Stegostoma tigrinum: one gene and its partner. The protein of the gene in region 2 binds, or shares a complex with, the protein of the main gene of each other region. Links are inferred from orthologs where the notes say so. Each region holds a gene or a part of one and is shown on either strand. Other genes may lie near its edges.

Region 1 (7,585 bases), on a different chromosome or scaffold from region 2:
CCCCCCAATCCCACCCCATCATTCCCCCCCCAACATTCCCACCCCAATCCCTCTCCATCATTCCCCCCCCAATCCCACCCCATCATTCCCCCCCCAATCCCACCCCATCATTCCCCCCCCAATCCCACCCCATCATTCCCCCCCCCAATCCCACCCCATCATTCCCCCCCCAACGCACCCCATCATTCCCCCCCCGAATCCCACCCCATCATTCCCCCGCCGAATCCCACCCCATCATTCCCCCCCCGAATCCCACCCCATCATTCCCCCCCACAATCCCCCCCATCATTCCCCCCCCATCCCACCCCATCATTTCCCCCCCCCAACATTCCCCCCCCATCCCACCCCATCATTCCCCACCCAACATTCCCCCCCCAATCCCACCCCATCATTCCCCCCCCAATCCCACCCCATCATTCCCCCCCCAATCCCACCCCATCATTCCCCCCCAATCCCACCCCATCATTCCCCACCCAACATTCCCCCCCCCAATCCCACCCCATCATTCACCCCCCCAATCCCACCCCCATCATTCCCCCCCAACCCACCCCATCATTCACCCCCCAACATTTCCCCCCCATCATTCCACCCCCAATCCCACCCCATCATTCCCGCCCCCATCCCACCCCATCATCCCACCCCATCATTCCCCCCCGCAACATTCCCCCCCCCAATCCCACCCCATCATTCCCCCCCCAATCCCTCTCCATCATTCCCCCCCCAATCCCACCCCATCATTCCCCCCCCCAATCCCACCCCATCATTCCCCCCCCAACGCACCCCATCATTCCCCCCCCGAATCCCACCCCATCATTCCCCCCCCGAATCCCACCCCATCATTCCCCCCCACAATCCCCCCCATCATTCCCCCCCCTATCCCACCCCATCATTTCCCCCCCCAACATTCCCCCCCCAATCCCACCCCATCATTCCCCCCCCAATCCCACCCCATCATTCCCCACCCAACATTCCCCCCCATCATTCACCCCCCCAATCCCACCCCATCATTCACCCCCCCCAATCCCACCCCCATCATTCCCCCCCAACCCACCCCATCATTCACCCCCCAACATTTCCCCCCCCATCATTCCACCCCCAATCCCACCCCATCATTCCCGCCCCCATCCCACCCCATCATTCCCCCACCATCCCACCCCATCATTCCCCCCCCATCCCACCCCATCATTCGCCCCCCAACATTCCCCCCCCAACATTGTCCCCCATCATTCCCCCCCCAACATTCACCCCCCCAATCCCACCCCATCATTCCCCCCCATCTCACCCCATCATTCCCCACCGCAACATTCCCCCCCCAATCCCACCCCATCATTCCCCCCCCAACATTCCCCCCGCCCAACATTCCCACCCCAATCCCTCTCCATCATTCCCCCCCCAATCCCACCCCATCATTCCCCACCCCAATCCCACCCCATCATTCCCCCCCCCAATCCCACCCCATCATTCCCCCCCCAATCCCACCCCATCATTCCCCCCCCAATCCCACCCCATCATTCCCCCCCCCAATCCCACCCCATCATTCCCCCCCCAATCCCACCCCATCATTCCCCCCCCAATCCCACCCCATCATTCCCCCCCCCAATCCCACCCCATCATACCCCCCCCAATCCCACCCCATCATTCCCCCCCACAATCCCACCCCATCATTCCCACCCCCAATCCCACCCCATCATTCCCACCCCCAATCCCACCCCATCATTCCCACCCCCAATCCCACCCCATCATTCCCCCCCCAACATTTCCCCCCCATCATTCCACCCCAATCCCACCCTATCATTCCCCCCCAATCCCACCCCATCATTCCCCCCCGCAATCCCACCCCATCATTCCCCCCCCAATCCCGCCCCATCATTCCCCCCCCAATCCCGCCCCATCATTCCCCCCCCAACATTTCCCCCCCCAACATTTCCCGCCCCATCAGTTCCCCCCCCAATCCCACCCCATCATTCCCCCCCAATCCCACCCCATCATTCCCCCCCAACATTCTCCCCCCATCATTCCCCCCCCAATCCCACCCCATCTTCCCCCCCAATCCCACCCCATCATTCCCCACTGCAACATTCCCCCCCGCAATCCCACCCCATCATTCCCCCCCCCAACATTCCCACCCCAATCCCTCTCCATCATTCCCTCCTCCAACCCCACCCCATCATTCCCCCCCGCAAATCCCACCCGATCATTCCCACCCCCAATCCCACCCCATCATTCCCCCCCGCAAATCCCACCCGATCATTCCCACCCCATCATTCCCCCCGCAAATCCCACCCGATCATTCCCACCCCATCATTCCCCCCACCGAACATTCCCCCCCAATCCCACCCCATCATTTCCCCGCCCATCATTTCCCCCCCTCATCATTCCCCCCCCATCATCGTTCCCCCCATCATCATTCCCCCCCATCATCATCCTCCCCCCCCCATCATCATCCTCCCCCCCCATCATCATCCTCCCCCCCCATCATCATCATCCTCCCCCCCCCATCATCATCCTCCCCCCCCCATCATCATCATCCCCCCCCCATCATCATCATCCCCCCCCATCATCATCCTCCCCCCCCCATCATCATCCTCCCCCCCCATCATCATCCTCCCCCCCCCCATCATCATCATCCCCCCCATCATCATCCTCCCCCCCCATCATCATCCTCCCCCCACCCCATCATCATCCTCCCCCCCCCATCATCATCATTCCCCCCCCATCATCATCATTCCCCCCCATCATCATCATTCCCCCCCCCCATCATCATCATTCCCCCCCCCCCATCATCATCATTCCCCCCCCCCCCATCATCATCATTCCCCCCCCCCCATCATCATCATTCCCCCCCTCATCCCACGCTTTGCCTGATTTTCTTTGTCTCAAACGGCCCATGTCTGAGGAACAGAGATCCCCGATTGTGCGAGCCCCCGACTGACTGGGCGGCTCGGTTCCAAGAGACTCCCCCCTTTTACCTGCTGGGGAGCTGCGGCCGACGGCCCCCACCCTCGGGCTGCCCAAAGCCAGCGCTGCCGCCGTCAATATCAACGACAACGGCCGCCATTTCCGCGCCATGGCCTACTGCGCCTGCGCGCTGACACGCTCGTTACCATGGAGACCGCGCTGAGGCCTACTCACTGACTGCAACCAGAGACCTGGGTATTGCAGGTTCTAATTGTTTTGTCATTAAAAACACACAAAAATTGCTGGAGAAACACAGCAGCATCTGTGGAGAGGGAAACAGTACAACTCAATGACAATATGGATATACAATGGCTCAGTGATAGGAAACAGGGATTAATCGTCGATGTATTTTTTTCAGGGCAGAAGTTGGTGTGAGATTCTGGTTTTTCCTGATCATAAAATTTTGCTTTAGCCATCACGCTTGATAAAACAGGCAAAAATTACACAGCTCAAATAACAGGGGAGGCAATGGCCTAGTGGTATTATCACTGGGCTGTAATCCATAGACTCATAACATTCCGGAGGTCCGTGTACAAATCCCTCCACAGCAGATGGTGGAATTTGAATCCAATAAAACATCTGGAATTAAGAATCAAATGAGGACCATGAACCTATTGCCGATTGTCAGAAAACCCACCTGGCTCACTAACGTCCTTTGGGGAAGGAAACAGGCAGCATTGACATTATCTTCAATGTCTCGGAGAAAGAGTCGTGGGTGGGGGCCGGAACAGGACCGGAACAAGGAACATTCCACATACCCCATGAAGAGACAGGCATAACTTGCCGTTGCCTGACCTTCCAGGTGAAGCAACACTTCACTTGCACTTTCCAGAATCTAGTCTACTGCATTCACTATTCACAATGTAGTCTCCTCGACATTGGAGAAACGAAGCGTAGACTTGGCAACTACTTTGCAGAACATCCACGTTCTACTCGCAAAAAAGACACTGAACTACCCGTTTTGCCTGCCACTTCAATGCACCACCCTGTTCCCTGGCCAACATCTCTGTCTCTGACTTGCTACAGTGTTGCAGTGAAGTTCAACGCAAGCTGGAGGAACAACACTTCATTTCTGGGGACCCTACAGCCCACCGGATTCAATACTGAGTTCAATAATTTTAGGGCCTAAACTTTCCCCTGCCCCAGCCCCACACACACCAGGCTTTGTAACCACATAGCCTACTATACACACCCCTTGTTGTTAGTCACTAATGGTCCCCATTAACAACTAATCACCCTCCCAGCCTGATCGTTATCATCTCTACCTTTCCAACTATCTTTCTCTCTCTCTTCGGGCTCTATCCTATCGTTTACTTCCCACCTTACTATTTTCTGCATATAAACTGATGTTTTCCCAGCTGCTATTAATTCTGAGGAAGGGTCACCGGACCAGAAATATTAACTCTGTTTTCTCCTTCACAGATGCTGCCACACCTGCTGAGCTTTTCCTGCAACTTTGTTTTTGTTGCATTATTATTTAACTGATTTGTGTAGTAAATAAAGTATAACAGTGACATGTATCCCCTTGCATCACATTTCCATTACCTAGTGTGTGTGTTTTTACATTGATTTGTGACCTTTCGACTATCTGGAATATTTAATCAATCAGTGTACTCCTGTTCCCATACGTGTCAGATAATTATTAAAAAAAATTCTGTCATGTGTTAGATCTTGAAGTGTAGGGGACAATTTCAAAGTTTGCAGAGACACAAAACTTGAAAAAATTGTGAACTGTAAGGACAGCAGTGTAGAACTCCAAACTTGAGCTCATCAACATGAGGAATGGTTGAGGACTCTGGGTTTGTCCTCTATGGAGTTTACAGGGATGAGGGGGAGATCTCATTGAAACTTACAGAATACTGAGAGGCCTAGATCAGGTGTACCTGAAGACAACATTTTCACTAGTAGGAGAGATTAGAACCTGAGGACGCAGCCTCAGGCTGAAATGACAACCCTTCAGAACTGAGATGAGGAATTCCTTCAGCCAGAGGGTGGTAAATCCGTGGAACTCATTGCCACAGAGGGCTGTGGAAGCCAAATCATTGAGTATTTAAGAGAGGTATAGGTTCTTGATAAATAAGTGGATCAAGCACTATCGGGAGAAGGCAGGAGAATGGGGTTGAAAAAAAACATACTGGCCATGATCAAGCAGACTTGATCTTATATCTGTGTGGAGCTGGATGAACACAGCAGGCCAAGCAGCATCTCAGGAGCACAAAGATGCTGCTTGGCCTGCTGTGTTCATCCAGCTCCACACTTTTGTTATCTTGGATTCTCCAGCATCTGCAGTTCCCATTATCATTGATCTTATATCTATCTTCTTTAATAAACTTCTTAACTGTTTCCGAATGATCTTTAGACTCCTTTCAAGAGTTAGCAGATTTCAATCCTGGTGATCTCCAAACTCCCATCCCGAGTGCCTGCTTTCTGACCACACAATCCAGCTCCTTTTCTCCCGCCCATCATCTTTCTTTCAACCCTCCCAGTCTCCTCAGTTCATTCATACTACAAGTATCTATTCTGTCTCCCCAGCTGGAGACTATGAATCTCAAATTCAACAACCCATACTCAAGTGTTGACAGTTCAAATGCAAGTCATTCTTTCTGTACTGAACCGCCTCAAGTATACATACATGTTGTCTTCATTGGTTTCAGCATTGTAGAACTAGCTCTTTTCTAAATTATTGAGTGTAATCTTCAGCTCTACTTTTTCCCAAGTAGTATTTTGTGAAAGATTTGTGGTCACTCAGTCAAAATAACTCCACTTTGTGTAACCATTCCAACTCTCAAAAATAAAGATGGTTTAATAATTAAAATCATTCCTAAATCTGCTACATTGCAGAACTCTGCTGCAATATAGCACAAATTTAAGAGACTTTATTGCAACTACAAATCAGTCAGCAGTGATCAGAATTTGTCTTTCATTTACTTGGTTTTGCATATTAGTTCAGATTAACTCTTTCCTAGCACAATGACAACATTTTGGAAGATCAGAATGTGTTTTCAATACAAAACTCATGTTCTCAAATTCACGTGTGCTTCATTCGCACTGCTCACTTTTTCAACAGACTGTTTTAATGTGCGGTACAAACTTTTCTTCAGTCAGTCATTGACAGGAAGTAATGTCAAGATTTTAACCTATATTAAAAATATATCAAAACCAAAAACTAAACTCCAGTCATTGATATACAAGACAAGTGCTGGGTGGTATCAAGTCTTTAATGAACTTGTCCAGGAATGACCATGCAACAGGATTCTAATCTTGGTCATTCTGCGTGGCCATGAGAAATGGTTAGCTAATTTCTTGGGATAGGGAACTCGCAGCCAAGTTAATTTGCTGAGCAATCAGATAAGAATGAGGTTTGTTATGATTTTACTCTGTTCTTCAATTCAGCAAGAGCACATTACAACAATTCCAACATCGAAGGTGCAACTTTGATCAACTGATTTATCATTTTCAAAGACAGTACTTTTCTAAGCCTTCAAAATGTTGCAGTGAGAGAGAATATAACAAACACAAATCCATTGGACATCTTCAATATACAAGTAGTCACATATGTTCATAATTATACAAGACAGCAAATTCCAAGTATCCCAGTGCTTATCAATTCAATCCAGGAATTTACTTTGATGGACTGTTCTTTAGTAACATCAAGAACGTAATTTTCATTAGCTAGCTCAGACAATATTTTCTCAAGATGTCTACGACAGTTGGTATCATTCATATAAATTTCTTCTCAATTTCCCTGTTCAGTCAGATTTTCTCTTTAACTGAAGACTCTGGATTTCTGGGCTGATTCAACAGCTCTTCCAATTTCTCCAAATCATTTTCCACTGAATCTTTTCTGGCAATTTCATCAATTAAACCTTCTGTCACATGCAGTCTGGCTTCCCTGGGGAAATGATACATGAATGTAATAAAAACAAACATAGTGGCATTAAGAAACTGCTGATAAACAATTGTTATAGTGCAAAAGGAGCCATTTAACCCATTGTGTCCACTCTAGCTCATTTTAACTAAGTGCCAATTAGAAACCTGCACATTAACTCTGTCACTTAAATTTATGATTTCAGTGGGTGATGACTATTGAAATTACAGGAAATGCATACCAGTCTGCTTAGTGTTTGAACAGAAAGGAGAATTATTATGTTTCAGGTGGAGCGTTTCTGTTCAAAAGATCAATGACCAAAATATTAACATTTATAGGAAGAGGAAGAGAATATTTTTAAAAAATACATTATTCTTGTAAAACACTTTTCAAACATTTCTCCTCTGCTATTCTAATTTCAGCAATTTATCTATGATCATAGAATTACCACGTCATACCATTCTTCCAACTTAAGTTCATAAATCTCTCGCCGTTCTCTACGTTTACGTTCTCTGAGGGTCTCTCCACTAACTTTCTGCATTGCTAGGATCAATGCCCCAGCTGGAACCCTGAAAGACAAAAATAGTGAAATTCTTATCTAGTTGTCAGTACAAGTTATTCACAGTCGCATTCCAATAATTAACTTCAATTTAGACAAACTTTCTTGTAAGAGTCGTCTTTACATGTGTCATAGATTGATGGTTTTTTCTTTCTTCCCTGAATGGCTGATTTTCAAGTTTTAAAATATTTAATAGGGAA
Region 2 (7,137 bases):
CCCCCCCACACCCACCCCCCACACACACACACATCCCCCCCACACCCACACACCTCCCACACACACACACACACATCCCCCCACACACACACACACATCCCCCCCCCACACACACACACATCACCCCCCCACACACACACATCACCCCCCACACACACACACATCCACCCCCACACACATCACCCCCCCACACACACACATCACCCCCCCCCACAAACACACACATCACCCCCCCCACACACACACATCACCCCCCCCACACACACACCACCCCCCCACACACACACCACCCCCCCACACACACCACCCCCCCCACACACAGATCCCCCCCCACACATAGATCCCCCCCACACACACACAGAGATCCCCCCCGACACACACACACACACACATCCCCCCCACACACACCCACACCCCCCCCCACACACACCCCCCACCCCCCCACACACACCCCCACCCCCCCCACACACACCCCCCCACACACACACATCCCACCTCACACACACACACGCACACATCCCCCCCCCCACACACACACACCCCCTCACACACACACACCACCTCACACACACACACCCCCCTCACACACACACACCCCCCTCACACACACATCACCCCCCACACACACACATCACCCCCCACACACACATCACCCCCCACACACACTCACCCCCCACACACACACATCCCCCCCCCACACACACACACACACCCACACAAACATCCCCCTCCCACACACACACACACATCCCCCTCCCACACACACACACACACACACACACACATCCCCCCCCCACACACACACACACACACACATCCCCCCACACACACACATCCCCCCCCCCACACACACACACACACCCCACACACACACACAGATCCCCCCCCACACACACACATCCCCCCCCACACACACACATCCCCCCCACACACACACACATCCCCCCCACACACACACACACATCCCCCCACACACACACGTCCCCCCCACACACACACGTCCCCCCCCCACACACACGTCCCCCCCCACACACACACGTCCCCCCCCACACACACGTCCCCCCCCCACACACATGCATCCCCCCCACACATGCATCCCCCCCCACACCACACACACACACACACGTCCCCCCCCCCACACACACACACACACATCCCCCCACACACACACACCCACACACACATCCCCCCACACACACACATCCCCCCTCCCACACACACACCCACACACACATCCCCCCACACACATCCCCCCTCCCACACACACACCCCCCCTCCCACACACACACCCACACATCCCCCCTCCCACACACACACCCACACACCCCCCCTCCCACACACACACCCACACACACACACACACACATCCCCCCTCCCACACACACACATCCCCCCACACACACACACACACCCCCCACACACACACACACACATCCCCCCCACACATCCCCCCCACACACACACATCCCCCCCCCACACACACACATCCCCCCACACACACACATCCCCCCCCACACACACACATTCCCCCCCCCCACACACACACATTCCCCCCCCCACACACACACATTCCCCCCCCCACACATATACACACACACAGATCCCCCTCACACACACACATCCCCCCCCCACACACACCCCCCCCACACACACACACGTCCCCCCCCACACATGCATCCCCCCCCCCACACACCCCCCCCCACACACACACACGTCCCCCCCCACACATGCACCCCCCCCCCACACACACACACGTCCCCCCCCCACACACACACACACGTCCCCCCCCACACACACACACATCCCCCCTCCCACACACACACCCACACACATCCCCCCTCTCACACACACACCCACACACACATCCCCCCACACACACACACACCCCCCACACACACACCCACACATCCCCCCCACACACACACCCACACATCCCCCCCCACACACACACATCCCCCCCCCACACACACACATCCCCCCCCCACACACACATACACACACAGATCCCCCCCACACACACACATCCCCCCCCACACACACACATCCCCCCCCACACACACACACATCCCCCCCCACACACACACACATCCCCCCCCACACAAACACACATCCCCCCCACACAAACACACACCCCCACACACACACACCCCCACACACACACCCCCCCAACACACACACCCCCCCAACACACACACACACATCAGCCCCCACACACACACACACATCACCCCCCCACACACAGCCCCCCACACACACACACACCCCCACACTCATCACCCCCCCCACACTCATCTCCCCCAACACACCCCACACACACATCCCCCCCCACACACACACACATCCCCCCCACACACACACACACACATCCCCCCCCACACACACACACATCCCCCCCCACACACACACACCCCCCCACACACACACACACATCCCCCCCACACACCCCCCCACACACACATCCCCCCATCCCCCCCCCACACACACACATCCCCCCCCCCACACACACACACCCCCACACACACACCCCCATCCCCCCACACACACACACCCCCATCCCCCCACACACATCCCCCCACACACACACATCCCCCCCACACACACACACACATCCCCCCACACACACACATCCCCCCACACACACACACACCCCCCAACACACACACACACATCAGCCCCCACACACACACATCACCCCCCCACACACAGCCCCCCACACACACACACACCCCCACACTCATCACCCCCCCACACTCATCTCCCCCCAACACACCCCACACACACATCCCCCCCCACACACACACACATCCCCCCCCCACACACACACACACACACATCCCCCCCCACACACACACACATCCCCCCCACACACCCCCCCACACACACATCCCCCCCACACACCCCCCCACACACACATCCCCCCCCACACACCCCCCCACACACCCCCACACACACACACCCCCATCCCCCCCCCACACACACACACCCCCATCCCCCCCACACACACACCCCCACACACACACACCCCCCATCCCCCCACACACACACACCCCCACACACACACACACACATCCCCCCACACACACACATCCCCCCCCACACACACACACACACACATCCCCCCACACACACACATCCCCCCCCACACACACACACACACACATCCCCCCACACACACACACACACACACATCCCCCCACACACACACACACCCCCCACACTCATCACCCCCCACACTCATCACCCCCCACACTCATCACCCCCCCACACACCCCACACATCACCCCCCCCACACACACACACACATCAACCCCCACACACACACACCCATCACCCCCCCACACACACACCCATCACCCCCCCACACACACACCACCCCCCCACACACAGATCCCCCCCCACACTCACAGATCCCCCCCCACACTCACAGATCCCCCCCACTCACCCCCTCCCACACACACACACATCCCCCCCCACACACACACATCCCCCCACACACACACACCCATCACCCCCCCCCACACACACACCCCCCACACACACACACACACCCATCACCCCCCCACACACACACACACCCATCACCCCCCCACACACACCCCCCCCCACACACACACACACCCCCCACACACACCCCCCCACACACACACCCCCCCCACACACACACACACCCATCACCCCCCCACACACACACACACCCATCACCCCCCCACACACACACCACCCCCCCACACACAGATCCCCCCCCACACTCACAGATCCCCCCCACACACACACATCCCCCCCCCACACACACACATCCCCCCCCCACACACACACACACATCACCCCCCCACACACACACATCACCCCCCCACACACACACATCACCCCCCCACACACACACACACACACCCCACACACACACACACACACACCCCCCCCACACACACACACACACACACACCTCACCAGGCTCACAGCCCCCTCCCCCGGCGTCAGGGATTCTCTGTTTGATACAAACTTGGAGTTCCCGCCCACCTCCGGGTTGTTGTGGGAGAGGGACTCCTTGAGAAGTTGCTGCCTCTCTCGAAGCCTCAGTCCGGGGCGGGACCGCTTTCAGGAGAGCAGCTCCGAGTGGAGTGCAGTGTCACGTCCCGACCCAGCTCTCGGGCCACGAACTAGAGCAGATCCCGAGCCGCTTGCTGTCTGTCCGTGACTTTCCCAACTCTCAGCCCCGCTCTCCGCTCGCTCCGGGATTTACAGCGGCAGCTGGTTACTCTCTAACCTGCTGGATTTATGATCTGTCTGCAAGGAATATCTCGTGGATTGAAGGAAAGAGAGAGATCTCCCTGATCTTGGACTGGAGGAATGTTTGGACTGAGTTTGTGTCTCATTTCACTGCCAGCCTTTCTCTCAGGTAGGAGTCCTGGGGGAGGGGATGGTGGGGGCAATGAACACAGGACACACTCATTCGGACTCGGGAGGAAGTTTCTTTTATTGGGACTTGGGAGAGTCTCTGGTTTCCGTTGCTAGGAGCTGGAGTTTTAAAACTTTCCAGCGCCCACCGTTCAAGTTTCGGCTCAGAGGGTCCTGTCCCCCTCTCTCCTTGCAATCGCCCTCTCTCCCTCCTCTCCCCATCCCTTCCCCATCCCTTCCCCATCCCTCTCCTCCCCCCTCCCCACCTTTTCCACTCCTCTACCCCATCTCCCTCTGCCACTGCTCAGGGACCACGGGCAAACTGCTGTCCTCCCAACCGCCCTTCAGCTCCCCTCTCGGTGGAAGTAGCAGCTCACCATCTCTGCTCCGTGTGAGAGGATGTTGCTGACGCACTGAACCCTGTGGTCTGACTGCACACAGGGGACCGAGAGGGAAGGAGAGAGAGTCAGAAGGAGAGGCAGAGAATGACACTGAGGGAGAGTCTTGAGTACACAGACTGAGACAGAGAGACTGATGGGGAGCCAGAGATACAGTCTGAGAGGGATGGAAATAGACTGGCCAAAGGAGACATTAAAGGAGAGATTGAGAAAGACTGAGAGAGAAATGGAGGGAGAGTGTGGGGGGAAAAGAGAGAGACCGAGGGAGAGAGAAAGAAAAATATTCAGGAGAGACCATAATGGAGAAATCTGGGGCTTTTCCTGCTGAATTTTGCTTCTCTGATTTTGCTAGCTCACAATTATGACACCAGGAATTATCAAACTACTTCAACATTGTTTGGCAAAATATTCAACCCCAGATCGTAGAACCTAACTCTTCATCCTGGGACATGAACCACACAATTCCCAGTCTGTAGACCATGACACTGGTCCCGAGAATGGAGAGCACACCACAGTGTCCAGTCTAGAACATGGATCCTCCCCTGACTGTTAGACTCTAGAACATTGCCAATCCTCAGTCTCTAAAATGTGATCCAGTCTTCTGTGACCAAGAACATGAGCCTGACCCATCCCCCCAGTCTTTAGAACACAGCTACTCAACTCCAGAACACAACAAGCCCAAGAATCTGGAACATGATTCAAATTCCTGCTATCCAGATTCTAGACCATGACCCTGACCACCCCTTCATGTGAGCCTTGTTCACCAAACTCTGGAACATAAACAACCCCCAAGCTGGCTGATTCTAGAACAAATGAATGATCTCCAGATGATAGACTTTCTAACTGGAATCCATTCCCCAGGACATGACACCCTAAAATAAAGAGCTTTGGCATTGAAGATCTGAAACAAATAAAAACAGGAATCGCTAGAGAAACCCGGCAGCTCTGGCAGCAATGTGGAGAGAGAAACAGAATTAACTTGCCGAGTTCTGAAGAAAGGTCACTGGACTTGAAGTGTTAACACTGTTTCCTGTTGTTGCCAGGCCTATTGAGTTTTCCCAGCAATTCCTGTTTTTGTTTATTTCTGCATCATTCCTCCCCATTCCTCAGACCCTAGATCTAACTCTCCTTCATTTCAATACACTCCGACAGAAAAGGATATCAGTTTAATTGGGACAAAGTTACATTACTAGGGCAAGCATGAAGGTTCCAACCATTGGTGAGATAAACAAACATGCTGAAAAAGACCCCAACTACATACCACCCCAGTAAAAAAACCACACACAAGACTACCCACCATGACAGACCAGGCCATATTAATTAACAGCAGGACAATGGAGGCTAGACAGCACTGAAGATATCACCTAGTGGTAGATAAAATGTTTGCTCAGCTAACCAACCAATAACTCCAACCCCAACCCAAGCTACAGATCTTCATTAAAAAATTACTCAGACCCAAGAACGTAATCCCAATGCTGCAGACTCTGTAAATCACAATACCCCATTTCTCAGGCTCTGGAACTCAAATCCCAATCTCCAGACTTTGGTACATGACCCCTATTCCACAAATTCTAGAACTCAAATCTCACTGCAAGACCCCCTCCCCCACCTAAGCTCTAGAACTCATATCTCACACATAGCCCAATACCCAAGGTCTAGACTCAAAATCCCATCTTCCAGACTCTGGAACACGACCCAATTCTCCAGGCCATTGAACTCAAACCTTGTCCCCCCAGATTCTGGAACCCAACTCCAGCCCTCATGTTCTGGAGCTCAAATTCCACCTCCACCCCCATTCTCCAGACTCTGGACCATGATCGCCATTCCCCAGGCTGTAGAACTTGAATACCTATTTTCCAGCTTCTAAAACTCACTCCATCCTCATTCTCTAGATTCTACAATACCCCTGGATTTTTAGATGGCTGACATTGCATCATCCATATCTTCATCAAATTGAACCTGGGCAAAACTGTGTTGCCTGTGCTGTAAACCACACTGAGTCCCATTAACCATGAACTCCCATGTTTGCTGACCTTCACTAAACCTCCAAGACCAGCAGCACCTTCTTATAAAATTCTCCTCTTTGTTTCAAATCCCTCCCTGGCCTTCACGCCCCCTCTCTAGTTCTGTCATTTACAGACCCACACCTTCCATTAAACAGGCTACATAAATGTAACTTGGTTTTAAGATTGAGCTGGGGCATGTGGATGGGAAGGATGTCTTAGTCCTCCCAGAAAGATGTGTGCTGCTCCAGTTGCTCTGTGTTTTGTTTTAAACTTCATTTACTCCGCTGTTAACAAATGCACAGTAGTTGACAATATTCTGACCAAATGTTATGTGTCTC

The links.
Region 1: the proteins of neurogenic locus notch homolog protein 1-like (region 2) and poglut1 are in contact, whole or in part, in a crystal structure (PDB 5UB5), measured with the Homo sapiens proteins. The link is inferred for Stegostoma tigrinum from reciprocal best matches to the Homo sapiens genes NOTCH1 and POGLUT1. Residues at the interface, in NP_060087.3 of Homo sapiens: Asn454, Glu455, Cys456, Val457, Asn459, Pro460, Cys461, Gln462, Asn463, Asp464, Ala465, Cys467, Gly472, Glu473, Phe474, Val485, His486; in NP_689518.1 of Homo sapiens: Met103, Phe104, Pro105, Ser106, Arg107, Asp133, Gly170, Pro171, Ala172, Val173, Trp174, Pro178, Thr179, Gly180, Thr214, Asn239, Gln240, Ala241, Val274.

The regions. Positions count from the first base shown.
Region 1 is NC_081372.1:5,662,583-5,670,167, forward strand, and holds the start of poglut1 (protein O-glucosyltransferase 1), read right to left. Parts: upstream 3,083-7,585; 5' UTR 3,070-3,082; coding exon 2,970-3,069; intron 1-2,969. Other genes in the region: timmdc1 (complex I assembly factor TIMMDC1, mitochondrial), read right to left, coding at 6,712-6,850, 7,285-7,395. UniProt on the Homo sapiens protein: Dual specificity glycosyltransferase that catalyzes the transfer of glucose and xylose from UDP-glucose and UDP-xylose, respectively, to a serine residue found in the consensus sequence of C-X-S-X-P-C.
Region 2 is NC_081382.1:43,059,346-43,066,482, reverse strand, and holds the start of neurogenic locus notch homolog protein 1-like, read left to right. Parts: upstream 1-4,082; 5' UTR 4,083-4,347; coding exon 4,348-4,396; intron 4,397-7,137. UniProt on the Homo sapiens protein: Functions as a receptor for membrane-bound ligands Jagged-1 (JAG1), Jagged-2 (JAG2) and Delta-1 (DLL1) to regulate cell-fate determination.